Nothobranchius furzeri: one gene and its partners. The protein of the gene in region 3 purifies or fractionates together with the protein of the main gene of each other region. This does not show direct contact. Links are inferred from orthologs where the notes say so. Each region holds a gene or a part of one and is shown on either strand. Other genes may lie near its edges. The genes, in order: vamp3, napab, stx8, vti1a, sybl1 and vamp8.

Region 1 (5,142 bases), on a different chromosome or scaffold from region 3:
AAATTATTCAAACACTTTGGGATTTAAACACCTTGTTCATTCAACACATTTGATTATATCAACCTATAAAGTTGTAAAGTCATTTATGATTCAAGGAAGGCAAACTGTATTCAGAGTAAAAGTGCAGAAAGTCTTGTTTTCTGCATGGACTACTTAAAAAGATAAGGAAAACACATTATGGCTACTTATTTGCTTGTATGTCGTAGATCCTTGCTTTTCTTGTTTGGAGGCTAGACAGATGTAATGCTTCCCTGGATGTGTGACACAGTTTGTGTCTGCAAATAAAAAGTTAATTTCTGTTCATTTGTGATGTAAATACTTGGCCTTTGGGTGCGTTACATCGTTATCGAAATTTCTGACTCTTATCGAAAACAATTTTCTCATGTCAATAAATTTGATAATAAGAAAAATGAAAAGATGTGTGTAGGTTGGCAATGCTCATGTCCCTTTAAGAAGCTGTATCACCTTGAGTCACGTAAAAATGTGACTCAATGTAATACATGGGACAGCCCCATCTAGTGGACAACTTTGTTTCTGCGCATAACTGTAGTTATCGTCCATTTATCGTTATCGAGGTGGAATCCTTAATATATCGTTATTAATTTTAGGCCCTATCGCCCAGTCCTAGTGTTAACCATGCTAACTGATTTTATTTCACCTCCATTTAGCTCTGTTTATTGATAATTAACAGATAAACACAACAGTGGTCAACGGGGAGGTGCTGGCTTCTTGCCCTCCAGCGAGGGGCTAGGGGCAGGGGTGTAGGTGCGTGATGTCATCCGTCACTGCATATTACACTTTGCAGATGTTACACTGCAATTATGCATTCTGTGGAAAGCCAGGTTAAACTGATGCAACAGGTAGCTTGCAGGACAGGAAATGAGGTTTAAGCCACGATGCAACCTAATAAAATCAATTCAATCCACGTCTCTTTCTGTGTATGAGTTTGCATCATCAGTCTCATTCTGGGACAATATTGTATGTGTGTTTTGATCAAATAAAAAAGCAAGTGTGCCATTCCTAGCTTTGAGCAGTGCACCTAAAATTTGGAGTGCGTGCTTGGGTGTTATTTTCAGATCACAGGTAATTAGGACCATTGCTGATAAACACGTGACCAATACAGTTACTTCTACATCAGAGTGTAAGCAGACATTTACGCCATCATTTACAAAACAAAGTTACGTGTAAAAGTCGAGCTCTTCAGCTTTATTGGTTTACTTCTAAAAACCATTTTAAGGGTTTAAAATATAAATCTAATCTTTAAACACTGCTAAATTCTTTATTTCTAAAATGAAATGAATGTGATATTTATCAGCAAATACAAACTTTTGCAATAGTCATGTGCTGCCCCACTTTGGTTTGAGACAGCACTGCACCATTAGTGCTATGCATCTGTGTGGTTTTCACTGCTTGTTGGTTTTTCATGCCCTTTAAGCTGCTTTAACCACAGGAGAGGAAACTTAAGGAACAAAAACAGATTTGTTGTTCACAACTTAATTCTGAATCTTTGAGTAACTGAGCTTCCCTTTCCTTTAGCCATTGCACATATTTACTGTTTATTAAAATTATGATCATGTTTCCAATTTGTGCACAAGCCCCTGCATCATTTTTATTAACACAATGTCAAAAATGTGAATTTAGAATAAATAAAACTAAGAATTACCACTTAAATCTATTATCTGTACAAAGTAATTGATTACTTTATTCACATAATCATTGTAGTTAAGAAAGATCTACATAAATTGGGTTATGGCATCAGAGAAGATATTTGTGGAAAAGCTCTCCTTGAAGCAGAAGTAAAATACAAAGACTCCTCCTTGTTAAAACAGCACTCAGAAAAGCATAGTAAAAAATCTGCAATGGCAGAAACTTATTTTGGACATCTGCAACTAGGCTTTATTTTCCAAACCGAGTTAGGCTTTATTTTCCAAACCGAGTTTTTAAAGTATCATTTAATCCCAGCCAGGTACTACATTTTTAGAAAGTTTATAATTTTGTTACTTCAAACCCACATTTTTCTTATTTTCTACTAAAAGCCTTACAGTAAAATCACGAGTGGTGTACATTGTTTCAGTTTAAAACTTCTACATGAATACAATGTTTCTAAAACAGAATAACTTTAGATAATAGCATTCATATAATATCAGTGTGCATGTGAATAAAAGGTTTAGACAGTAGTCACCAAAACTGTAGCATCAATCATCAAAAGATTAAATCAGAATGCTCTTATTTTATTAATATCACCTTATATATACACCAATAACAAAATATGTAAAAGCATTTTACAGTAAAATTTATCTTAAAATGGAGTTAGCATATGCAATTACTTATCATTCTATGTGTGTGTGCAAAATCTAAATCTAATCTATAAGAAAAGTCTCAACCTCTCCTGACTGACTCTAAATTAAACATCTTGATCTAATAGGAGACTAAATGTTGCAGTGTTAATGACAAATATAAAGAAACTGATGAGACTAACTTGTGACTTCTTTGGAAAATATGTAAGGGATCACCCCGTTTAAAGTTATTGTCACCATTACTTTCTGTTAATACACCTTCCACGTGAAGTAAAACAATTAAAATGTGTGATTTATTCATCTTGTCATTTCAAACACTCGAATTGGGTGCAAGTAGCTATCTTAGCAAGGCCAAACAAACGGAAAATCACTAGTTTCGGAAGGAAACTCTTCAGTAATAAGTTGCGCAGCTGTGGAGATTAGTCAAGCTTGTGGTATATATACTTGTTTCTTTTGGCGTCGGATTGATAAAAAAAGATACCACAATAAAGTTTTTGTTAAACGAAGTTAAAAGTATCAATGTAACGATGCTACAGCTAGCTTAGCTTACGTTTGAGGCCCAAGCTAAGTGCTAGCAGCACTTGTTGCATGCTAGTAAAAAAGTTTTGGGCGTTGTTTAATCACATCGTATTATACTATAAAACAAAGTAAACAGTTTTTTGGTTGAGCTGACTCAAAAGGCGTTGTGAATGAAACATAAAATACTTACATTTTGAAAAGATATTTTAATTTAGCGAAACCGCTGCTGTTGTTTTTGTTTGTAAAGTAGTCCGTAACAGCGAGTGCGGTCGTTAGTCGTGAAGCCTTCCGGGCTGTCGGGAATTGGAAAATCAAACATAAATGACGTCAGAGTCTTCTTGAAACAACTAAATCTGTTTCTGTCTTTTTATTCCTCAAACGTGATTAAATGTTACACCTATGATATGTGACCTAAACAATAAGTTTGGAAAACTGTTGTATAAATAAGGAACTTCAAGTTTTTTTATAACTTTTCATCAATGTTTTCCAATTTGATGAGCAAAATTCTTTAAAAATAAATTTAAAAAATAGCGTTTTTGAGCATTGAAGCTAATAAAAGCAAGAGTAATGTCCTAAATCTCTCTTATATATATATATATATATATATATATATATATATATATATATATATATATATATATATATATATATACTTTTGGTTTGTGTGCTTAGTAAAAATGAGAAGAGAACACAGCCGTGAACTCGTGGTCAACGTGTGACATGAAAACAAAGGCTACTGTGTTAAATTACAGTGTTCATTTGGATACAACTCATCTTTTAATGTAGAATTCATTTTGATCTGTGCAACTATAGTTACATAAAAAAGGAAAATAAAAATAGATGTCCAGGTTCGCTGGCTGCTGAAGGGTCATGTGATGTACTGATTTAAGAGGGAGTAAAGGAATTTATCAGGCTGTTGGTTATCAGAGTATCCATGAATGTGCGGGTTGTTGTTGTGTGTACTGTGCTGTGAAAATGTTTTGTCAGATTCTTTCTGTTTATGCTTTTTAATTACACTTAAATGTTAGTGATCAGCAAACTAATACCAACACAATACAAAGATGACCTGAGTAAATAAAAAATGCTGTTTTAAAATAACACATTAAAAAATTAAGGGATATGAACTAACCTAACTTAACCCTTCTCCTCTTGCTAAATCATGGATTAACTGTGACTAGCTTTTATTTGGAATGTTGAGTTACATTTGCCACACCCAGGTCTGATTACCACCATACATTTGGAAGCAAAGCTCTTCAGTAGAATGTCTGAAAACACAAGGTATGTGGAAAGATCTGAAAAAGCAATACATGTTCTAAAGAATTCAAGAACAAAAGAACTCAAAACAACCTCTATATGACTCCAATACTCACTTTGACTCCATGTGTTGGATAAAAACAGTATTGGATGCATGGAAAATGATTTTGTCTGGGTACCATCTGGTGTTTTTTAATTCAAACGAAGGTTCATTCCTTGTTCATATTTTGTTACTTTTCTGTGGCTCCGGCAGGGAAGTTCGACCTTGTATGTCTGCAGTTCTGTTATCACAAAAAGCTCCCTAGTGAAGTCCAGACGGAGCGTTTCTCTGTTATACCAAGAACCTGGGAAAGTTTGCTTTCTGTGAAGGAGGGATGTGTGTTTTCCTTTAATGTGTGTGCTATGTTACTTTTGAATAAAACCTTTTTGCGAGCTTCTGCTCGTCGAGAGACCGAACAGACATCCCATTGGTGTGTATCTCCTTTCTCTCCGAGTTTGCAGTCTGGTTGTTGATTATTGGTGATTGATCATATTGGTAAATGGTAATCTAATATCCCTAACCCCCTTGTGTGTGTTGGACTTTCTTTGAGGTACGCCTGGACTGATTAAATGTAAATACCCAACACCATGATTCAACAATAAAACATGGACAAGGGGACAAACTCACCTCCACAATAGCATTCAGTGGTCAAAACCCTTAGCCTGGCAAGCAATCCCATAAATAAAATAAAATAAAATGAAATCTTTTGCTACTGCTATGGTTTGTCTAGATTTCAGCGCTACAAAACCCTTGCTCACCATTAACAAAGACATGCATTTCTTGGTTCTTTTCAAACACAGAAAAGAATCAAGAAATGCAAGTTGAAAAGATACACAGAGTGAACGTACAAAAGATGGTTAAATCAAAGACACGTTTAACGTTCGGAATCCCCCAAATCTTTGCAAAAATATTCTTTAGACTGAAGAAACAAATGTGTAACTGTAAAAAGCATGTGTGGCTTGTTACATCTGGAATAAAATTAACACTGTTTCAGATTTTAAAAAATGACCACAGTCAAACATGGTAGCTGTA
Region 2 (4,805 bases), on a different chromosome or scaffold from region 3:
ACTTGTTGGCTGAACTGATATAAAAGAGAAATAAATAAATAAACCAAGGTGTGAAATTTAAATTATAGTATCAACATTTGCTAAATCTTTATACATTTTTGTTTCAGGTCTATTTAAAGGGATACTAGGCAACTTTTTGGTATTTTTAAATAATTTTCTTGAGTCATTATTTGCTAAAATGACCCTTAACAGGGTTAATGAAATGTCACTCAGACCCCCACCGTCCTCTGTGGTCAGAATACCGCATTTGCAACTTCAGAGTGCCAGTCCGGGGGGAAAAGGTGAGCCGACATACCTGATGCTGCAGTCTGGTTCTAGCATGCTTCCTGCATGTTTTAGATCATGAACACAGCTAAACTGTTTAGTTTATTGATGAATTTTGTGTCCTGTAGACACTAATGAAGGCTGGGGAGACATTTCAGCTGTTAGATCAAGGTGTTAAAAAGAAAAACGCACAGCAAGTAGATAGGTTTTGTTTTTGTTTCTACTAATTGGGCACTAGGGGGTGCTAAAAGCAAGCCAAAACTGCCTAGTCTCCCTTTAAACCCAAAAGTGGACAGAAGTATTGCTCAGATGTGTTACGTCAAATATTTACCTGGTGGATTCTTCGCCTTTGTAATAATCTGCTGCTTGTTCATAATGAGCAACAGCCTGAAACACCACCACCCCCGAAAAAAAAAAATTCAAATGACCATGTAAACATTTGATCAAATATAAACAACGTGATAACCATCAGCTGTGTCTCTGACCTTGTCGATGTCCACCAACTCCGTCTCATAAATCTCAGCGATGGTGATGTGGTGTTTAGCAGCGATGGTGAAACGACCCTAAAATTACACAGGAGCAAGGACGAAACAAAATTAAAAACACAAATCAATAAAACTATAATAGCTTAGGAGGGGGATTTGTATTAAAAACCTCACCATATCCGTGTATATTTCAATAGCTCGGTTTAGGCAGTTTATGGCCTCTGTTGAGAGAAAAACATCAGTTCAGTGAATGACAAGAAATAAGTAAAAGGAAATTTCTTTCCACTGCAGAAAACAGACTTTAGACAAAGTTCACTCATTTTCTCAATACATCTGCAGTGATCTCTAGAATGCATGAATGGCTTGTGAAACAACATCTCATGCTCCTGTTTCAGGAAGCAGAAGTGAGCAGAATTCCTGATGTTCGGACATCTCACCTCTGATTGACTAACATTAACACAACTCTACCACTGACTGTTCTGCAACACTGATATGTTATCTCCTCAAATAACACAAGCCTAAAGGAGTTCTGCTATGTTGTGGAGTTGCTCATGCTAACAGTTAGTGTCTACTAGCTCTGCTCTTTTCTGGGTGCTAAACCAACAACAGCCTTCCCCCGTCGTGAGCCAAGATGGGCGAGTCCATGAATGTTAATTCACAGCTTGATGTAGAGCTGACTGTACTTTCTAACTCAAACATTTCCCCATCTATTTTCTATGGGCGACTAATGCAGGAAATATGGGTAGAAGACTTTTTTCACGTTCAGCCTGTACACAAAACTCAGAGCTTCCAATCATATTTACATAATAATAAGTAAAAAAAAGTTTCTCAGTGAACTTGGTCTTTAAATGCACTTCTGTAGGAAACATTTACCCTAAACATCAGAATCAGGCTTACCCAGAAACTTCTGCACAGGTTGAGGAGTTTAACATTTCTGACTGCTCAAGAATTCCTGGTATTTGTCTTTGACGTTTCATCTTACTTATATCACATTTAGTTTTGAGTTGTGCCACCTGCACAGGCACAAATAAACTGCTGCAAACAGGCATTGATGTTGTTCAAAATCTGCATGTATAAAAACTACCCTTAGTTTTAAAAATAAAGAGTCTCGATCAGGGGTAAGTCTATAGAAGACAGCTAAATTTCAGACACACAAGATGCTTGGAACTAAGCTAGTATGGGGTAAACTAAAGACTGTAGATAAGTGTACACAGTCATGGGATCAAACTTGCTGCCAAACCAGGTATTAATTAGATTGGCTGCACTTTATATGAAGTTAATTTTAAAAAGTCCAAAAATGTATTTCCTTCCAGATTTTAAAACCTTTTACAAAGAGCTCCATGTAAAATTGAGTGACCTCTTACCTTGTGGATCTGCTTTTTTGAAGGCATTTCCAGCATCTATGAGATTAGTTGCTGCATCGTGTTTACTCTGCATTTGCAGGTGAAGATGAGCAGCCTGAGCAAACGCATTTCCTGCAGCTGAAAAGAAAACACAAATTAAAAGATAAAACATATCAACAGATATGCACAAGGAAGGGAAAGTAACTGTCCTCTTACCACACCAGTTTTTGGCCATTTTGTACATGTTGGCTGCCCTCACATACAGATCACAGGCCTCTTCCAGCTTGGAGGAGCTCCTGTGTGAAAGAAAAAACGTGTAAAAAAACAACAACTATAAGATACTGGTTATTAGCAGGTTAGGATCGTGTAAATGCAATAAACAAGACTGGATAATAAGTAATTACTTTTCAAAATAAAAATAGTAGATAGTATTTCATCTGTTGAGATTGTTGTCCAATAATGACAATATTTCCGCACCAACATTTTTATGGCAAAAGGCAAATATCAATAAATAATTTTCATTAGATTTGATACAACTTTGAGGTTTCTACTGTAAACATTGTGACGATTTGCACAATACGGAACAGCCAGCAGATGGTGCTACAGCAGAGCTAATGTGATCACACTTTTTAAAAAAATATTTTTTTACAGTCATACTTAAATAAAAACGAATTTAGTATTCTGTTATCGTCCATGTCAAACAACGGTTTGTTCAGTGTAATTTTTCTCAGTTTACTGGGATAAACGGCTACGTGTTAGTCTTTGTTGTTTGCAGACGTTATGGTCAGCAGAAATCCGGGGAAATAACCTTACGTCCGTAGACAAATACTCTCAATACCACAACATCTTAACAGCAGCTCCAGTCCTGTTGTGCCCAGCCATCAGCCCTGGTGTTAGGTGGTCACCTTCCGCATAGCTGGCCCTCAGCTTGAAAGCAGAAGCTAAACATCAGCTAACTAAAACTCACCCAAACAGCGACCCGAAAAACGACTGAGATGATTTAACTTTCTTCTCCGCCTCCGCCATTAAAGCTGTAGCTTCTTTTTCTTTCCCACTGTTATCCATTCTGCTTTACTTGTTTTTCTGAATCTAAAGGGGGGCGAAAAAATACTAAAGTCAACAAAGTTGCTAAGTATTGCTAACAGCAGTGTCACATCAGCAGCCAGCGCTTTCTCTGTCACGTGACAATGGGAGGGCGGTCACAGCCCTGCTGCCTTCAGGTGCTGCTCGTACGGTCCAGAGTTGGTCCATTACAAATCTATAATGTTTCATGTTATAAACTGATTGTAGACCATGCTGCAACACAATATATCAATCGATAATTTAATTAAGAAACATGTTCGTTGTTAATATTTGCTGTAGAAACAAAGGAATCGCTTCTAATCTGTCTCAGGATCATTACAGTGCGTTCATGACAATCTATATAAAACAGTTCCCTTGTGTTATCTGTTTTCAACAGCCAATTATTTTTCTATAAGCAATCAGACATTAAAGGTGACAATATTTAAGCATAAATGTTGTAATAAAACGTAATAGCGTAAATATCTTCAAAAGTGCAGTTTTAAAGGAATATTGATTAGAATTATAATAAGAAAATGCTTTCCTTTAGTCAATGCCAGTTCCATTATAAAGAGACATTTTTAATCAAAATGGGTTAGCATCATAATGAAACTGTTTGTCAGCTGAAATCTTTACAATTTTAACATAAATAATAGATAACAACTATGTTAAGTGGTTTTCCAGGCTTTGCATTATAGCACAGTGAATTAAATGTGTGTAAAATATTTTGTTGAAAAATACATGACAAACATATTTTAGGGCTATGGGTTGTGGTAGGTAACTACATGAGTCAAACATTCAAATACCTTTTTAAAATTTACAAAAATAATCACGTATTTTAGAACTATACAAAAATTATTTAAAATATGGAAAAGGAATGTTTTCTTGTAGATTATGTTACAGTATTTTGCTTAGGCTTTTTGTAGATTAGTTTGTTCTTTTCTTAGCCAAAATCATATAATCTGATTGCAGTTCAAGACTGGGTTGCATTTATCTAACAAATCTGCTGGCATTTGTTAACATGACTGCTTTTATATTTTTTTACATTTGTGATCCAGTTTCTTTTATGATTTCATTTTAAGCAATTTCTCCCCACAGGCTTCCTCTGCTGTTCCTGCCTTTCTATTGATGTTTTTTGAGTTTTAAAAATGAAAACAAGTTAACATGAAGAATATGTCAAATTTAAGAATGCACTAATTAACACAACAAAAATGTTCAAAAACCGTTTAATGTTCCGAATGGGTATTTGTGTGTAAAGAAAGTCTCGATAAACAACATGGATTTCAATCAGGCAGAGCGGAAGTCTGCCGTTTCCTGCCAGTAGTTGGGTCCTGTTGAGCAGCCCGTGCGAGGCTGTCCTGGAGACCCCGCGCTGCCTGCACCTCTAACGTCTCGGGTGAGTTTGTTACAATGTAACAATTTCTCCATTAATCCCAATATCCGCTACAAAGCTGCGATATCTGCTAACTGTTCAGCAGACACGAACCGCACTGCTACCGCAAAAGAAGCGACACACTGCCGCATCACACCGTAAACAGGCTCGTTTTCCAACGAATTCCCAAGCATACCCCCTCTCATCCAAGAGTATTCCAACATTTACTGATATTCTGCTTGCAATTAGCAATAGCTCGCCACGTAGTTGCGTTTACGACTA
Region 3 (4,359 bases):
GCTTTATGCTTTCAACCATTTCCTAGAGGTACTCAACCACAAACCCTAATGTGTCGCATGAGTGGGGCGCAGAGGTCTGGGGGCGGGGGTGGGTGTATACGTGCTGTGCTAAGCTCTCCCTCCCATTTGAGTGAACCTTCGTAGTACACCACTCTAGCTTAAAGAACAGCAGTTCAAGCTGCAGGCCGCCTCCTGTTGGGTAACTCTGAAACAAAGTAGGCTCACCACAGGACGCTGACTTGGTCTCCACCAGCTTCACCCTTCGTGTTTCATTTCGAATCCTGCTGTCCGTCGTGTCGACGAGCTGTGCGAGGTCATCGATGATTTCTGAGACAGACAGGAAAAGAAGACGTTTAAATTAATTAATTAGTTTCTGAATAACCATTTTTATACTTGGTGTTGTAAAAGTCGGCTAATTCAAAGGGCAGAGGTTATAAACGCACAGTAGAGGATTGTGTGCAAGTAATCATCCACCCTTTTGCAAGACTAGGCTTTAAAAAAATAGTTTTCAGGGTATCTGCAGGTTTAAGGGAGCCAAATTTAAGACTTTTTAAGATCTTTTTAAGGCCACTTTGACCAAATTTAAGCAATTTTTTAAATTAAATTTAAGCTATATTTTCCAGCTATTGGCTGGAACCGGTGCTAACCACGTCGCGAACGTGGGATTAGCCATCCAGTTACCATTAAATTTGCACTTCCCCATGGCGCAAGCTCCCACTAGCTTAACCAGCTAATGTGCTCATTTAAAAATAGCCCCCTTTCACAACCAACTGAATGTGTACGGTTCCGCTTACGCCAACATCATACACAAAAAATGCTGAACACTCGAAATTCACGAAAATTTCATAGAAATATTGGGTCGTTGGTAATTTAAGACCTTTGGAAACTGTATTTAAGGATTATTTGTCATTTTTAAGGATTTTCAAGGCCTTAAATTTGGAAAAGCTAATTTAAGACTTTTTAAGACTTATTAAAGACCCGCGGATACCCTGTTGATATTTATGTTTCTATTTTTCTGTATGTGTGTGTGTGTGTGTTCATATGTGTGTGTATTTGTGTACACATGTTTGGCCAGGGTCTCTAGAGCAGAACTTTAAGTCTTGAAGGTTGTCCAGATGAAGCCGCGTGATTTGCTTGGCTTGTGTTATCGTGGCATCTCCAGAGGTCTGGAGCCAGAAATAAAATCAGACAACTGCTGGAGGACGACCAAATTCTGACTATGGTATTGTTTTTAAAGAATGCCATTGTTTACGGATAATGCCAACCCATTTCACCCATGACTGCCGTATAAAATGGCTGATTTGACCACAAATTTAACCACATTTTTTACAAATCTGCTCAGAAGTATTAAGACGGGCGTATCAAAACAAAATTCTGCTAAAAACAACATCTTTTCCTGTAAAGGCCATCCATCAGTCTCTCTCAAGAGCCCAACTGTCACACTGACAGAAAACTATGAATAAACAGATGAAGAAACATGTGAGCAATTACATCCAGAGCAGCATGCCTCATTACTCCTGTTATAAATCAAGAGAGTCACTACAGAACACAGCTCCAGTGTAAAAAGTCTGTTTTTTATCTTAACTTTAGCAGTGATGACAGGTAATATCCAGTAGCCTTATAAAATAAAAAAGAAAAAGCAAAAATAAGACAAAGTTGCTAGCTTCTATATTCAGTTTCACAACAAAATCAGTGTGGTGACTTTTTAAAAATACATTTAAATGAGTGAAACTAGAACATATATACTTCTTAAGCCCTGGAATAATGGTTTATAGTTGCTTTAGATGGCAAAAGGGTCAAATAATCTGAATGAGTCATGGATTTGTTCTTCTAAATTTGTGCTAAATCACTAAATTCCCACAACTGTACTCAGCATCGTACTTGTCTCAGTGTCAAGAAAACACCTGAATAAGAGCGAGTCATCCCCCGTTGGTAAGACAGTTTGTGTTTAGACTGAAATGGACTAATTAAGATGCATGAATTCAAGGAAGGAAAGCAAAGCGTGTCTGTCTGGGGATGAAAAGCGTTGAAACAAGAAGACATGAGAGAGCCGTAAGCATGGCGCCCCTGGAGACTCCCACATCATCATCTGAGCATCAGGCAACAATTTAGAGTGAAGAAACTCTTCCTTTACTGTCAGGCAAAGGGTGTAGACACTGAGCCATTTCTGCCGCATGCCACTCCAACGAGTCATAAAGCATGATGCTAGTCAGCCGCTGCCAAGTTCCCTGATTCAGCTTTGGCCCAAATGAAACATCTCAATTCATTGATGAATTTCCAGCTGTGCCAAAACGCACTGGAGCTCGGACACAACCTCCAACAACAGCTGCAATGAAACTATTAATTTTTCACATCGAACATTTTGTTTGAAAATTTTTGATAATTATTAAGTTGTGTTCAACAAAATCCTAAAGTTTCCTTAAGGTGTCTTTTTCTTCCATCAATGGGCTTCTGGTGTTGCCTCTGATCTTCTGAAGCTCAAAGAAAAACATGTTTCAGGCTCAGCTTGATGAAAAATTCTACCACAGCTTAAAAAAATGAGTGTATGTGTTTAAGTTATCTTTTTTGATATCTTTATAACTTTGTCAAAAATACATTGCTATGAAAGGTGCACATCAAATGCTAAATGTGACCTAAAAATGTCTAAAATACATTAAAAGGTGAATTTTACTAGTGTTTATGGTCTTTTTGACATTTTCATAATCCTTCCACTAGCACCTATTTGGAACGTCAGAGTCAGAATCAGAAGGGGGTTTATTGCCATACATGTGAGAAATAACAACATTTGGAAATTGCAGCAGTACTTGGTGCAAAAAAAAAAAAAGAGATAAGCAAAATGATTCATATAGAGAAGCAATAATCAGAGGAACAACAAATATGTATAAGACAGTTGGTCACAAGTTCGCCTGCTCAGCCTCCCCACACCAAGAGGCCATTATGATCTACATGTTTTGAAGCCAAGGAGCAGCCTGGCCTGCCAGACTCATCCTCTGTTTAACTCTGCACAGAGAGAGTCTGGTAACACAGGCAGAGAGGCGCATGAGGGGCGGGACTAGGCAGCTCAAAAGTAACCAATCAGAAAAAAACTGAAATGCCGACTGTGCCGCGCAATGCTGTAGTTGTTTAACCCCCAAATTCCACTACCTCCGCTCCGACACGAACGCCGGAGCAAAATCGGTCCCGTTGTTGTCAATCAGAGCAATTCCACTACTGCGGCCGTGCTCCGGCAGCGCGGCGCAGTGCCCCGCCCTCTGTTCCGGCGTCCGGCAAAAATAGAATCAATCCTATTTTTGCCGGACGCCGGAGCACCTCCGCAGTAAATGGACAGAAATCACAACCGCCCAACAGGAAAAGGAGCAAGCACAACTTCCGTTTTTCACAATAAATCGATAAACAAAAGGCGTTTTTTTGTTTCATATGCACAGGTTTAACAACTTTTAACAACTATCAATGGCGGCTGAACTTTAAATGCACAAAAATAAGCCATAAATACACTTTCTACTATCAAAGTAGTCACACTCAGTTGATCCAAACACTGCCGATCTCTCAACACAAATGATGGGCAGATTAAACAGTTCATGCCGATGCTTCTCCCACACAACGGGTGTTTGGATCTAACTTCCGCGTTTATTGCTCGGACTGTATCGCAAGATCTCGAAAATCCCGCGCATGCTTGTTTGCCCACCTCAGGTCTCCGCACCGGAGCGGAGCCGTTGTAGAGCGGGTACCAGTAAAAATTGAGTTCGGAAGCGAGCGGCTGTGGAAGGCGGGGGCGGACCGGAGCGGAGCGGAGCGGAGCGGAACGGAGGTAGTGGAATTTGGGGGTAACTGTAATGAAAAAGGCATCTGGCAACGGTGCAAACATCTTTTTTTTTTCAGAAGAAAGGCTTTTAGCGCTTCTACTTGTTGTTATTTTAAAGACATTCAAGTCATTTAGAACAGAGGAAAGAGCCACAGCAAACTCCGCTTCCGTCGCCATATTTATGAGAAACTCGGCGTTATGCCGTGTGATGTACGCTACTAAGTGCTGATTGGCTCGGTTAGAATTCTCACAGGGTGGGGTTATTTGAATAGGAGAGCTCCCAGACCCTTTCTCTGTGCAGAATTAAACAGAGGAAGATTTGGCAGGCCAGGCTGAAGGAGTGGCTAAGATTGCAGTTCCACCCTCATCCGCTAGGGGCAAATCATCATTGACTCCCATGTTAAAAATGTCCGTTTTACAGCTGAAATAAACATGTTTACAGCCTGGTTCAACATTTTAGGTTTAATAGATCTAGTTTATATTCGTGACAACTGTGATGGGGGTGAATTTTCTTTAACTTTTCTGTTTAAGTGTATTTAAATGCTTAAAATTCTGAA
Region 4 (4,359 bases), on a different chromosome or scaffold from region 3:
CCAGCGGTGGGTTTTGTGTGTTTTTGTGAGTTTGAGTGCAACTAATGTGACAACAGAAAACAAACAAACAAAATAAACAAAAAGTTGAAAATTATTTTAGCAATGTGAGGGTTATATAAATAACCAAAACACGTCTTGACTTTTTTAGAAAAACTGAGGGAAATAAAAAAGGAAATGAAGTAAACATGCATTCATTTGAGCTGGATAATCACTTAGTTCAAAACTAGTATTGATCAAGTGAAGTATCCTGAGCAACACTGAGTAAACACAGAGTAAAAACAAGTGACCCAAAAGACTGGACTGTTCATAAAGCTTTGACAGAGTTTTGAAATAAAGTTAAAAAAATAAATAAATAAATAGGGATTTATGAATTACTAAACAAGGCCAGATTCTGGAGCTGAAACACAAACATGCACAACCTGCTCTCAATGGACACTGCTCACAAGTTCAAATATAAACTGTGAATTAACCTCTGTGGATGCACTACTGAGCTTCAGTGCTGGACTGTTTATGTGGGTAAAAACGAGTGCACTTAGAGTTTGGTTTGGGTTGTCTATAAACCACATGGGGTTTGACTGCAGCAACTTTTAACAAGGCTTGCATGTATATTTATTCCTTTGAAGAAATGTTGTGAAATAAAGTTGCATAATAACACTTAATGGTTATTAACAAACATCTATTTCCTTTATAAAGTGATGCTATTCGTGTTGTACTTACAAAGTCTTTCTCCAGCTTCTCCACTTCCTGCTTGTAGCTCTTCAGCCTGCTGTTGTACATGGCTCGGCTCTGGGCGGGGATCTCTCGCACCTCCAAATCCATCTGCTCCAGCTGAAAACCACCAGTGATGCACTTTATTTGTGGGCAAAACATTTCCAAGGTTCATTCCTACAGTTTTCAATCAATTTTTAGCAATACACATTAACCTGGCATGAATTTTAAACGTAAAATCGACTGACTTATCACTCAGAAAACGTACAGTTTTCATGTTAAGATGCAACAAAAATATAACAAAGTTCCTCTTTTTTTGTGTGACTCACAAAGTTACCAGCTATGACAATAAACATGTTTATGGCAAACACTTCAATTAGGCAAATAAAAAAATATGAAACATTTAAAAAGAGCAGCATTAACTTGGTTTTGTTTGTAAAAAAAAATAAAAATGCCACCTGCTTACGTCACTCAGCTGTGATAAAAGCACCAACAGAGTAAGGTGGTTCTGTAAATAAATACACCATCAAATGCGAGACCCCCCACCCCCACCCCCTTTTTTTTAAATTGCAGTGACATGAATGGGCCCAACAAAACTGTCACAGTGGATGAGGAAAAGGTACATTTGATGTATCGGGACGACAGAACTCATCTTGGCAGATTTGGAGGAAACTAATCACCGCGGCATAACAAGACAACCGCAAAAACAATTTGTCTCTATCTGGTGACTGCTTTTTTTTTTTTTTAACAGCAACATGAAGTCTTCCACCTCAAGATAATGGCTTGAAATGTGTCATAGGGGTGTCACTTAAAAGCAGATTACTGGGAAGTAATCGTGTGAGGAGGAAGCCTCCTTTCCCGCCACGTGAAGTGCGTGCATGTCTGCATGTCATGTCACCGCCTGGATAATACAGGTGCTGCTGTCTGGTGCCGGTGAAAACTGTCCCCTCCCCCTCCCACAAATTCATAATTTAGGCAATGGGACGAGGAGAAAATTACTGATCAAAGACATACCAACTCTCTGACTTCTTCAAGCTGTTTGTCAACATTTAGAACCAGCTGTGTCTTCTCCTCTGAAAGAGAAAAAAACAGAAACATATTGATCAGCCGGCGGAGGGAACAGCGCTTCATGACAACAGCCTGACTCCCACACAACAGTGGAAGAGATGGCGGGGGAAGAGAAAGAAAAAGACATTGGGAGAGAACAACACACGAGGACACATTTGAAGATATATTTACACATTCTCTCCACACGACGAGCCAACATTTGATGTGTCTTAGTAATGGCGTGTATGAGGCCTTTGTTGGTTTCTGCTGAGGAGCTGTGAGACACCTCATGCCAACTCAAAGGGAAGGGAGGTGTCAGCTTTGCTCACTTGCCAGAAGGATGAGTCCCTCTCAGAATGACTAACACACTGTTCTACACCTCACCCCATGACTGCTCTACCACATTACCCAAAGAAACTCATTAGGACGTCAACTTCCAAAGCTATAGTACCTTCAACAGTCATTTACAGCCACAGCGCAAACGCACGCTATGCGTGCTGAATTGGTCTTTGCTCTAAAATTAGCTCTTTGCCATGAAAGTAAACAATATGAAATGTAGAGGTCTGATGTGGCTGCTCAGTGAGTGGGTATCCTTTCTTCTTTTTTCCAAAAACAACACAAATAATACATAATCGTTGTTAAAGATTAAAACAAGACAACAACTTTAGGATTTTCGGTAAAATGTGTGACATTCATTTTGGTAACATTTACAGACCTTTAACCACTTTATTTTGAAATTTTGTAATTACGTTTTATAAACACTTTATAATTACGGCATGTCAGAAACATACAGTGACAAAATTGAATATGCTTGTAGTAACAGGCAAGTTAGAGGACATGGTCTGTGTTGACATCACAACACAAAGAAAACAATTGCAAGATCAAAAATAAATCAGTGTGGGCCTGGACAAAAATGAAACAAAACACCCATTCATCCATTTTCATCTGCTTATCTGGGGTCGGGTCGCGGAGGCAGCAGCCTAAGCAGGGAGGCCCACACTTCCCTTTCCCCAACCACTTGGGCCAGCTCCTCTGGGGAAATCCCAGGGCGTTCCCTGGCCAGCCGAGTTACATAGTTCCTCCAGCGTGTCCTGGGTCTTGATTTAAGCCTCCTCATGGCTGGACGTGCCCAGAAAACCTCACCAGGGAGGGTTCCAGGAGGTCTCCTAATCAGATGCCTGATCCACCTCAATTGGCTCCTTTCGATGTGGAGGAGCAGCGGGTCTACTCCGAGCCCCTCCCGAATGTTCTCTAGGGACAGCCCAGCCGCCCTGTGGAGAAAACTCATTTTGTCGCTTGTATCTGTGATCTCATTCTTTCAGTCACTACCCAAAGCTCGTGACCATAGGTGAGGGCAGGAACATTGAACAGCTTGTAAATCAAGAGCTTTTCCTCCTAGCTCAGCTTTCTCTTCACCATGACAGACCGGTACAACGCCCACTGATCCTTAGGCCACCAAAACAGATCTCCTCAACACCTCAAAAGATTCTAATCAAAAATCTAAAGATTGTATGTCCAAGCGTTTGGGATATTAACAAAAGATTTAAGCTGTCCTCCTGACACATCACCATGAATGGATTACATTTGAATATGAAAAAACTAAAAAAGAAAGTGGCTCAGACTTGGGACAGGATTCTTAAAAATTAAAGATGCATTTCTGTGAGTTTAGATTATTGACAATATTCCTATTAACATGAGAAAAACGAAATAAATATCTGCAGCAAAATGTTCCAGTTTAGAAAAACTAGAAGTGCAAGATATTAGGAATAGCATGTGACTGTGTGAGTTCTTAATTATTAAGATGATGATCTTGGTTGTGCTAAGTCTTGTTGCTTACTTTTCAGTTTGTGGTCTGGCATAATTACACTCATGACTACACAGTGTGCGTTAGCATTTCGGACACATCAGTAAAACCAGGTGCAGCCATGAGAGTCCATCAGAGCAGTATGTAAACAGATGTCCCTGCCAGCAGATCTTTGTGACATTGATATTGTGCACACATATTGTGATGTTAACTTTGTTCTGTTACCTTGTGACATATGGTTTAGCCTAAGGACCAGCCTTCGTCTCTAAAAACAGGACAAGCCTTTTTTACATCATACAAGAAACCTTATTTACCCAGGTACCTTTCATGGGAATGTAAGAAAATATTGATACACCAAAATGTCGTGATATATCATTTCATGATTCTGAATCAATATTTTTAAAAAATGTATCAATTTTTTTATTGATAATTTACATGAAAACATTTACCGTACATCTTTGTGTAGTGTGGTTCAAACTCCGACTGCTAGGTGGCAGCAGTTTCTGCCGCCTTCATTCTGACTAAACACGATCTTGTGATAAAACTATTTTAGAAGTGTCTGGCCTGAATTTTCCAATTAAATTCAGTCTTAAAAAAAATTGCAAATTTTGTCTGGCTTTTAGTAATATATTGTATCGTCTTCCCTGTATTAGGATATGAATCATATATCCAGATTCATGCCAATAAACACCCTACCTTGTTCAGTTCAGTCCAGTGGTTGTCCAGTAAATAATAAAGGTGTGAAAACTATGATAAGAGACAGCAACAGTATAAATAGTAACATGAATGTAAAGGTAACT
Region 5 (4,891 bases), on a different chromosome or scaffold from region 3:
AAAGCCTCACGCTGTTGCTCAACGTTTGACAAGCACACAGTAACGCACAACCTTCCGTCCCCAGTAACGGCGTTGCAACAGTGGGAAAAGTAATTAATTAGATTATTCCATTACACAAAAAAAGAACACCGTTAGCAACGCCGTTATTTTAAACGGCGTTATTCCCATCACTGCTTAAGACAAATGTTGTGCACAAAAGCAAAGGGCCCACTTCCTAATGACTGGAAAACCCACAGGTGGGGAAACAACTGTGCGTACAAGTGTAGCTTCACTATAATAATTTGGTGGATATTTAAGACAATTGAGTTTTTTTTTAACAAGTTTATAAATGCTCAGCACAGCAAACACCCACACCAAATTACCAGGTACAGGTAAAAAGTCTTAAAAAAAAATCAATTGAAAGAGCAAATCTCTCTCTTTCAAAATTAGTTCCCCAGATCAGTAAAAAAAATCTATTAACTCATTTTTACTGTGTGGGCGTCGGACGAGCCCCCGCACCGTAAGAACAAACATCTCAGCTCTAAAGCCGATCTTCATCTGCATACCTCACACGTCACGTGATCAGGAAGCAGAACATCCCTGTGTTAGGAGATCGTTTTGGGCCGCTGCTGTAAAAAAAGTGAGGCGCGAACCGGAAAAGCTTCTGCCGATCACAGTTCAACAACGGATTATGAAAGAACGGATAACGCTCGAAACGCGCGGATTCTTCCTGATGTGAGAGGCGAGTCTCCGCTTTGTTTTGATAGTTTTGGCGCTGACATCATCATACAGCAGAATGTTTGGTGACTCTTAAAAAAACTGTGAAAACGCTGAAAAACGCTGGCAGTGAAGGGCTTTTCTGATCAGGAAACAGCTGATTTAACGCACCCCCACCCCGAGAGGTTTTCTGGAGACTTTGACTTGAACATAAATTCCTTATTAGCTTTTACACTTTTATTCTGGTTTCCTCTACCTTTATGGTCTTGTGCTATTTCACTCATTTCTTTTATTATATCCCTTAAAGACTCTGGTCAGTGACAGCCATTTTTAAACGCGCTTCATAATAATACTTGAATGTTTGACTAACATTTAGTCTGCAAATTTTTTTCTGAATGTCCTCAGCCTTTTGCTGCACCCACCAACTGAGCTGCTAGTGTTGAGGAGAACTCGCTGTTCATGGCGTAGGGTAGAGCTGTTTGAGCTCGGGAGCCGTACGTCGTTTGGAAACGCTTCTTGACTTCACTGAGGAAGCTGAACGCACGTGATCTCTCAAAGTCCTGCCACCAAAAAATAAAAATAAAGTGAGTTAAAACAAACCAAGATTCACTAAAAAGGGTGGAACAGTGTGAGTGTTCTGCTTTAATAATAACATTTTGAAACACACAGATTTGTCTTTTTAATTTTTGCTTGAAAGGAAGCAGACTGACGTTTTCTAGTGGCATTGATCACTAAACCACCAGACTTTCTGACGCTCGTTTAAAGTGTTCTTTTGGACTTTGGTAGATTCTCCACTCATTTCCTCTTCTCATACCTGACCATGACAGGATGTTGTGCAGCATGCTCTTGAAAAAATGAGGAATGTGAACCAATGGGCAAAAGAAGACCTAAAGAACAGCAGGTGTAAAGTACCAAAGCTTTGTTTGAGAAATACTTTTAAAAACAATCAAAGACCTGACAGGACGTAAACTTTTCAGTGTTATTTCGTTATTGATCCATCCATTATCTGAACCGCTTCGGTCTAACTAACTAGGGTCACGGGAGCTGGTGTCTAACCTAGCAGTCATCAGGCTAGTCCATCACACAGAAAGACAAACAACCAGTCACACACTCACTCAAACCTAGGGACAAAGTCTCCAGTCAGCCTTAATGTGAACGTTTTGATTCAGTGGACAATGCATTATCCATGAAAACCCACACATGCATGTGGAGAACATACAAACTACACACAGAAAGGACAGATTTTGACCTTCGACCTTGCAGCGAGGCAACACTGCTACCAACTGCAACACTGTGTTACTTTTTACAGATTATACTAAATAAATGGGAACAAAAATAGTGTCTGTGGCAGGCTGCTGGTAGCAAAGTGCCTAAAGATCCTAACTGGCCCGTTGCCAAGTTGTTTGTTAAACCACAACACAACACCTGTTAGTATCTAAGGCTTTTTTAATGCATGAATGAATTATACGCCACAGATAAATAACTTAAAGCTTAACAAACAGAACCAAAACAATCCTCAGAAATCAGTTCAAAGGAAAAAAAAAACCTGAAAGACTTTAGAATTATTAATCATCCAACTTTAAAAGCGTATGAGAAAGTCTGGCTGTTTTAAAGCAGGACATAAAGAACTACTCAATCTAAATCAGGAGGCTACATGATTAAAAAGATGCATTTTCCTGTGACACTATATATTCGTGAGTAGATAAGTATCCTTATTTGGCAGGTAACGTTGTTGTATACTCACATCATCAGTAATGCACAGGTATATGATTCTGTCATGGCAGATGTAATGAAAGAGATAGCTATAAAAACAAACAAAAAGGAGAAAGTCATTGAGATCTGTCACCAAGAGTGTTTCTGAAACAGCTTCTGGACAGATGCACTGCGTTAGGATTTTACCTGCCGTGGCTGTAGGTCAGCTTGTTGTTCTCTGAAGGAATTTTGGCCAAAATCTGCTCTGTGACTTCCAGGAAGTTCCCACCGCACCAAGCATGCTTCGCCAGAATAGTGGTTCCACGAGCCACCACAGCAAACAGGATTGCCATGGCAACAGCTGGGGGGATTCAGCTATGTACCTGTAGACAGTAAAATTACGGAAGTATAGAGATGGGTGGATATTAGGGCCAATAAAGCCATATGGGCAAGCAGGAGCTTGTTTAAACAAATAAGAAAAATCGTGTTCATCTGAAATATTCAAATACAGGCGAGCAGCCGCCAGCTCGTGTGTTAAACTCAAGTAATTTCTAGAGAGACAAAACAAAAGCTTGGAGAAAAACTAGCTAGCTAATGTTGTTCAACAAAACACAGCTGCGTTAGGGAGGTGTGATGTTACGTTATGTCATGGTAACAAAATAAACCAAACAACCACAGAAAACACAAATAAATGTATTACCTCAATGTGTCAGCGATGCTCAAAGTATCTCGTAGAGTTTTAATAGCCACATAAGCTGTTTGAGCTGCTAGCTAATCCTTTTTGAGTGACTTCTGACTAGCAAAATCAAAAAACCGGAAATGACCTCAACCCACTATTGGGTAATGTAGTTTCTAAAGCCACATTTTAACGCATTTGGTTCTGTTATTGAACTACAATTCTTTTCAGACAAACACGTGACGTTCAACGTCACATGTTTTCATGCGCAATTCTGTTCTGATTACAGCAATAGAAGGTGTGCGTTAAATTGGCCCTTTTGAAAGACTTTCAGGCGAACAAATCGTCCATAAAATTGGTTTGTGGACGTTTTTCAGATCAATAATGTGTTGATACCGTAAAGGAAGAACTACCAGACTAAAACTGTATTTTATTTTTTCAGATAAATTTAAGTATTTGTAGTTTACTCAAATAAAACAAATTATTTACCCAAAATGAACAACTACTTTTGTACAAATAATCTAAAGTTATACATATTTGTTACGAACTCGAACATCTGCTTACCCAAATGTTAAAATATTTAAATAGAATTTAGAAATTTGTTTGCGCTTTACGCCTGTCAGACAAAGATGAGGATCAACAACTCAGGACTGATCAGTGTGACCCATCAAGAGTGCGATAGACCCCCTCCAGCACAGTAGGTGGCAGAAATGCACGTATGCCACCCGCAATACAACACCCGAAGAAGAAGAAGGGGGAAAAAGCCTGAAGCATGGCCGGAGAAATGGAAAAGAAACCAAAGCTTGAAATGGTAGGACATTTTAAAGTGTCACAGTTTACATATAGACCAAGTGATCTTGACGGTAAACCGACTCCACTTGGGAGGAAATGATCGATACATAGGGGCTAAACGTAACCCCTTAAGTTTACTCCTCACGTGGATACCTTCAGTAGCTAGCTAGGTAGTTAGCACGACTCTTCACCTGAACTCAGTCCGTTACTGCAGATTTACGTCGTGCGTGCGAAGCTCACCCCTTTTTTTTATAATGTCGGCCTGTGTATCAGTTCAGTAATAAAATGAGTAATAAGCGTTCATCATAGATACGATAAACATTGATTAATATTTAAAACAGCAAATGTAGACATTAGCTTTTAGAACTGTATTTGAATGTTTACAGGATCCCAAGTTGCGGTTTGATACATGCCTCTGTTTTGACGGTCACGCTTTTGTTTGGGCACAACACAACGGGAAAAAAAAACTTCACCAGATGTTTGTTTCGCTTCGTTTTTTACATCAGAAAGTATTCATCCGGAAGCAGAGTGAGAAAATAACCCTCTTGCTAGGAAGGAGAGTAGCAGGTCATGCACAGCAAGGCAAGACTTGTCTTCTGTTGTCTTCACCGTGAAATAAAATGTCACATTTGACTCTGTATTTAATTCAGTCAGAACTATAAACAGTGTCCTGGAGGAGAAACGGAATGTTCAACTCTAAGAGGCGATTTTGTCTCTCAGATTAAAAAAAAATTACAAAAAGGAAAAATATAAAATACATCAGTCTCTGGGTGATGGGCAGCCCCCTTAAGTGTCAATAATAATTTTGACATTCAGCAGTGGGACTGGACAATATGGGAAAAAATATTACAAGATCAGTTGATACTGATATATGAAAAACCAACCGTTTTTGTCCGTCTTTAGTGTTCCCTGAAATTAAGTGAGATTTGAAGACAGCAGAAGGTTATATTTAAAAAAATAATGTACGTTCTCAAATATTGTGCAACTTTTTTAGATCAATAAAAGTGGATTATTAAAAACGAAATCTTGCATTAC
Region 6 (5,099 bases), on a different chromosome or scaffold from region 3:
GAACAGGGGCTTCCTTTTCAATTTTCAAGAAACTCCTGAAGACCCTGCTCTTCAGAGAGCATCTTCTAAACTAGCACCCTCCCTGCACCCGTCCCCCCTCTCTACTGTCCACTCCATTGTTCCCTCCTCTCCATGACTGATGCCAAGTTGTTGTTGTTGTTAGCCTCAAGGGCAACATGCTGATTATCACTTGTAAGTCGCTTTGGACAAAATCGTCTGCTAAATACATAAACATAAACATTACAGTACCACAGTAAGGCTGTTAACTTTAGATACACATTTTCACAGAGACAGGAAATCGTGTGAGGCAGTGCATGGAACAGCAACGACTACAGCAAACCTCTTATTCACGGGATGCACGACGAGTCAGAAAGAAAAAAAAACAATCTTATTTAGCGCCTCTTAAGACAAAAATCACAAGGCGCTTCACAAGAGCAAATAAAAAAATAAAAAATAAAGACTTTAAATAATTATTAAAAAATATCATATATTTAAGAAAAATTTTCATTGTGATTAGAAATTTTTGGGAAAGAAAAACAGAAAATTATTTTAAAAAAGAGGTAATCAGTGGATGCTGGGAAAGGCTGAATTGGTAGAAAGAGCTGAATAAGAAAAGGGCAATAGTTAAGGTCACACCAAAGCCAGCCTGAACAGGTGAGTTTTCAGCTGCTTTTAAAGGAGACCACTGAGTCCACCGATCTCTGGGGGAGAGAGTATCGCGTCAGACCCGTGCCACAACCCGTGCACGCGCATTGGGTCCACAGTGCGCGTGTGAACGGGACTCGCGAGCGAAAATATACATGGCGAGAGGTCATTTGTGCACTGAGAGGGAGCAAACTGTGTCTGTGAGCGCACAAGGATGTGCACAAGTGACAAACCTGCGTGCGCGCGTTGCCAACGAGCACACGGCAGAGGAAAACGTGCGCGCGCGGCAGCCTCTCTGCGCGCTCGGCAGCCTCTGCGCGCTCGGTTTCTAATTCCGCTCGCTCGGCTGTGAGGAGTTTTGGCACTCTGGAGGCGTGGCCTGTGGCAGATCTTCCCTGTCCTCTGATTGGTTAGTTTACTCCGCACTTTACTCTCTAGCTATCTGTATAAAAAAATCTGAGATTCAGCAGTTGCTGTCATGGCTCAGCTGGGAGAGCGGGTGACTCTCACTCTGGAGGATCCAGGTTCGAGTCCGGCCAAGGGACATAGAGTTGATGTCATGTTATTCTTTCCTAATTCCTGTGATATTATTTTACAGTTGTGACCGTTCAACTGTCATTAAACGTCCGAATGTTTGCTGGGCAGTGTTTTAAAAAGTGCACATAAGCTAGATGGTTTTAACCAGGTAAAAATAGACTTGTGGGTGTAGGTATGTCCAAGTTTAAAAAGTTCTTGCCTCATTAATGTATTGTTTATTTTTTTCAGCATTTAATTGACAAATTATCCTTTCAAATAATTAATTGATGAGTTACATAATTGTCCATTTAGAATTGTTGAATGGACTGAGTCAAGTTTGGTGCACTTTATATATTTCAAAACATGTTTTTTTTTAATTATGCATATAAATAATTTTAATGTTAATTTATTGAAATATTTCTATTTTTTCATTACCTCACCCTTGTTTTGACAAAAACAAGATCTTGCTGGATAATATCACGGAGAAACTATTTGTTCACAGTACATGGCTCAGTGAGGATCTGTGTACCAAAGGAGGAGATGCTCAGAAATCTGTCTGCAGATTGTTACAACCCAGACTGGAAGTGGTGGGCTGTAATAAGAAAGGAGACCAAACAGAGGAGTGGGGGGTTCAACAACTGATTTATTTAACCAAAGTAAGGATTTCCAATAATAAATAAGAGGTATTCACCTTCAATACTAGTCATTAAAATGCAGCAGTTGCTGTACTGGTGTAGTTCAAAGTGGAGTGCATCAAATAAAACAATATTAACATAAAGGTGAGTCGTGTCATTACCCCCCCCACCACCACAGCTGGAAAAATCCCTAGGGGAAACACTAACAGCTGTAGCTTAGACATCTCATGGTTCTTAAAGGAGATGTACAGTTGGATGCCATCTGCATAAAGATGGTAGGATTCATTTAAAAGAGCTCAGCATGTGCTGGAGAGGAAGCAGATGAAGACGAACTTGGGTCTTCCAGTAAAACCTGATTAAGAGGAAATAAAATTAGATAGCAGGCAACTACAAAGCTGGCACAGATGTGGTCTCTATGATTTAAAAGGTAAATTTAAAGGAAAACTTTCATTTGATTGCAAAATAAATGTAACCTATATCCTCAGTGAGCCATTTAAAATGCCGACTCTTTAACTAGTCAAATGTGAAATTCCCTTAATCTGTGAGCACATGTGAGATTTGAATGGAGTGTAAATCCTGATCTTTCAGCTTTAATCTGTTCTGTCTCTATTATAAAGACTGAAACACCTCTGTTCCCAGCAGCAGCAGAGGATCAGTCCTGCTTCAGATTTGCATGCAAAGCTTTTCTCACTTGGTCACAAACATTTAACAGTCAAAAACCACCGTTAGATATCCAGCTGACCAGAATAAAAAAACATTTGTTTGTGTCCTAAAGTGGTTCAAAACTACAGAAATTGAATCCAAGTGCCTCAATGATGATGCCCTGAAAAAATAAGATGATACAGATCAGTTTATCTTAAATAGCAACAACATTACTTTTACATCTGTTGTTTGCACGCCTGCTTAGAAAACACACCAAACGTATGTGGACAGACCAAGGTTTCAGTCCAAAACAAATTATTTCCACCTTCTGAAGTATCTGATCCTCTGACCTCTCCAGCCAGCAGGAACAAGATGCTACAGCATCTCTGAGCTAAGTTAGCTAGCTAAGTTTGAGCTAACAAACAGCTTTAAGCTGCAACAGCGTTTAAAACGCTCATTTAAACACCGACTTCACACTTTCAAACATTAACTTAAGTAAATGTCCAACAGCAGGACCGCAGAGCAGCTTCCGAGTGGACGCCATTGTTCAGGGAAAACAGGGTCGTAAGTTACAGGTGTCCCCTCAACTCAAACATTATTCATTTTCTTCATGTGACCTGAACAAACACACCTGCTCCTTACATGGCGCCTCGTTATGGAGTCGCTGCAACAAAACAAGAAAAACATCACCTACCGGGTCCGCGTCCATCCTGTCAGAAACTAGATCCTCCTTCAGAAGACCCACAGACACGGTTCTTTAGTTTAAAACCTTTAAAATGATGTAAAACCTAAAAGTTTGACGCTCCTACAGGTGTCTCTCTCTCTCTCTCTCTCTCTCTCACTCGCTCCTCCTTGGTTTCACTTCCTGTTTTTTTCTCTTCACTCTGAATTCCTTCGCTTCGAGTTTTCAGCTCAAACCCACATCCGGTTTCATTAAAGCGATAAACGTGAAGCTCATTAAACGGTTTAAAGTAAGTTTATTAACATTTACAAGCATTACGTTAGAAAAGTTAAATAAAATAAAACGGTACTACATTTGTTTCATAATTTAAAACAGGAGATAAAACGTGTTAACCAAATCACTTGGATTTTAATTAAGTTTTTTAAACTGTGTATTATTTTATTTATTTAATTATTTAATGCTCTTCCTATTTTTACTTCTGCGTTTATACATTTTGTTATGAACCTGGGCCATCGTTTGTTTTATTGTGAAACATCTATGCTTTTATTTAGAAGATGTACTCCTGTATTGTGTCTGCTGTTGATAAACTGAGTGTAATTACCTTTCAAGGGCACATAGAATATTTATTCATCCGTTTATTTGTCTGAAGCTTTGCTGATTTGTGAGTCAGTGGTGAGAGTTGGATTGTGATTTAATCCGATGCTCAACTAAACAAACGTCTGCAAAAATAAGAGCAATTCAAACATAACAAATTCACATTAGCAGTAGGCCTAAGTTTTAAATAAATACTTTTTATTCACCACAGCAGACATCTGTGCTAAACTATTATAATGTAATAATAGTTGTTACATAGAAAGTGGTTCAGCTTTTAAACAAGACAATAACACTCATAAGTGAGTGCTGTGTGTGTGTTTTCCTCATAGGTTTTAGCCTGGCCTGCCAGACTGGTCCTGTTTAATCCTGCAGAGAGTGTCTGGTTCCTCACAGGCAGAGAGGCACTTGAGGGGCGGGACTAGGAAGCTCAAAAATCACCAATCACAAAAAAGACAGAAATGCAGACAGTACCGCGCAATGCAGTAGTTTTTTAGCTGTAGTCAAAAATGGCGTCTGGCGACAGCGCCATCTTTCTTAGAAGTAAGGCTTTTAGTGCTTCTACTTGTTGTTTTAAAGACGTGCCAAAGTCATCTAGAACAGAGGAAAGAGCCGCAGCGAACTCCCCATTCAGTCGCCATGTTCTTTATTTATAATTGAACAAGATACATATTCTCGTTGAGGATTACAGTCTCGTCAATACAACAGCCAAAACCAACAGCTTAGTGAATAACATGACAGCATCTATGTACAACATAAAATAGATACGTGAAAACAAAAGGGACATAACAAAAATAAAAGGGACTTTACAAAAATCAAGACACAAGACGGGGGGTTAATGCAAACACAACATCCAAATAATACTCCTGCAAATACAAATACAATCCTGTAGCACAGAAGATAAGAGCCTAATAGTCTAAGACCGAGAGATGAGATTTTGTCATGAATTGTAACAAATCGGTCTGATTTTAGATGCTTAAGCGAGGAAAAATATTGTTTAAAGTCATTCATAAATCTGGCAAAGGAGGGTGTTTGTGACAAACTCGGCGTTGTGGTGTGTGACGAACGCTACTCAGCGCTGATTGGCTCGGTTAGATTTCTGGGTGGGGTTATTTAAATAGCAGAGTTCCCAGACCCTTTCTCTGGCCAGGCACATTTTTCCTTCTGGTTTTATTTGTAATGCATGCCTATCGAAAGCTGTTAGACTAAAACATTCATGTGGGTTTCATTTTCTAAGGTCCAGTTGATTCGATCCAGCAGAGAAACAGAAAGGCCTACTTTCTATTTAAAACTAAGGTTGGGCAGACATTTCTGTTCTTGTTTCTTAAATGTTCACACTTTCTCTCCTCTGTGAAAGCTGTTATTATCCTACAAAATTATTTTGTCAT

Evidence for each region.
Region 1: the proteins of stx8 (region 3) and vamp3 purify together in Homo sapiens (co-immunoprecipitation; 3 studies listed by BioGRID and IntAct, with this or other methods). This does not show direct contact. The link is inferred for Nothobranchius furzeri from reciprocal best matches to the Homo sapiens genes STX8 and VAMP3.
Region 2: the proteins of stx8 (region 3) and napab purify together in Homo sapiens (affinity purification with mass spectrometry; 4 studies listed by BioGRID and IntAct, with this or other methods). This does not show direct contact. The link is inferred for Nothobranchius furzeri from reciprocal best matches to the Homo sapiens genes STX8 and NAPA.
Region 4: the proteins of stx8 (region 3) and vti1a purify together in Homo sapiens (affinity purification with mass spectrometry; 3 studies listed by BioGRID and IntAct, with this or other methods). This does not show direct contact. The link is inferred for Nothobranchius furzeri from reciprocal best matches to the Homo sapiens genes STX8 and VTI1A.
Region 5: the proteins of stx8 (region 3) and sybl1 purify together in Homo sapiens (affinity purification with western blotting; 3 studies listed by BioGRID and IntAct, with this or other methods). This does not show direct contact. The link is inferred for Nothobranchius furzeri from reciprocal best matches to the Homo sapiens genes STX8 and VAMP7.
Region 6: the proteins of stx8 (region 3) and vamp8 purify together in Homo sapiens (co-immunoprecipitation; 5 studies listed by BioGRID and IntAct, with this or other methods). This does not show direct contact. The link is inferred for Nothobranchius furzeri from reciprocal best matches to the Homo sapiens genes STX8 and VAMP8.

Annotation. Positions count from the first base shown.
Region 1 is NC_091743.1:51,774,588-51,779,729, reverse strand, and holds the start of vamp3 (vesicle-associated membrane protein 3), read right to left. Parts: upstream 3,124-5,142; 5' UTR 3,009-3,123; coding exon 3,007-3,008; intron 1-3,006. UniProt on the Homo sapiens protein: SNARE involved in vesicular transport from the late endosomes to the trans-Golgi network.
Region 2 is NC_091753.1:46,790,371-46,795,175, reverse strand, and holds the start of napab (N-ethylmaleimide-sensitive factor attachment protein, alpha b), read right to left. Parts: upstream 3,283-4,805; 5' UTR 3,158-3,282; coding exon 3,060-3,157; intron 2,389-3,059; coding exon 2,114-2,388; intron 971-2,113; coding exon 924-970; intron 828-923; coding exon 750-827; intron 652-749; coding exon 596-651; intron 15-595; coding exon 1-14. UniProt on the Homo sapiens protein: Required for vesicular transport between the endoplasmic reticulum and the Golgi apparatus. Together with GNA12 promotes CDH5 localization to plasma membrane.
Region 3 is NC_091747.1:69,833,805-69,838,163, forward strand, and holds part of stx8 (syntaxin-8), read right to left. Parts: intron 328-4,359; coding exon 226-327; intron 1-225. UniProt on the Homo sapiens protein: Vesicle trafficking protein that functions in the early secretory pathway, possibly by mediating retrograde transport from cis-Golgi membranes to the ER.
Region 4 is NC_091756.1:39,739,096-39,743,454, forward strand, and holds part of vti1a (vesicle transport through interaction with t-SNAREs homolog 1A), read right to left. Parts: intron 1,782-4,359; coding exon 1,723-1,781; intron 829-1,722; coding exon 718-828; intron 1-717. UniProt on the Homo sapiens protein: V-SNARE that mediates vesicle transport pathways through interactions with t-SNAREs on the target membrane. These interactions are proposed to mediate aspects of the specificity of vesicle trafficking and to promote fusion of the lipid bilayers.
Region 5 is NC_091741.1:28,141,656-28,146,546, reverse strand, and holds the start of sybl1 (vesicle-associated membrane protein 7), read right to left. Parts: upstream 3,274-4,891; 5' UTR 3,089-3,273; intron 2,772-3,088; 5' UTR 2,742-2,771; coding exon 2,596-2,741; intron 2,499-2,595; coding exon 2,441-2,498; intron 1,257-2,440; coding exon 1,119-1,256; intron 1-1,118. Other genes in the region: polr1d (DNA-directed RNA polymerases I and III subunit RPAC2), read left to right, coding at 3,837-3,875. UniProt on the Homo sapiens protein: Involved in the targeting and/or fusion of transport vesicles to their target membrane during transport of proteins from the early endosome to the lysosome. Required for heterotypic fusion of late endosomes with lysosomes and homotypic lysosomal fusion.
Region 6 is NC_091757.1:27,702,865-27,707,963, reverse strand, and holds the start of vamp8 (vesicle-associated membrane protein 8), read right to left. Parts: upstream 3,334-5,099; 5' UTR 3,148-3,333; coding exon 3,133-3,147; intron 1-3,132. UniProt on the Homo sapiens protein: SNAREs, soluble N-ethylmaleimide-sensitive factor-attachment protein receptors, are essential proteins for fusion of cellular membranes.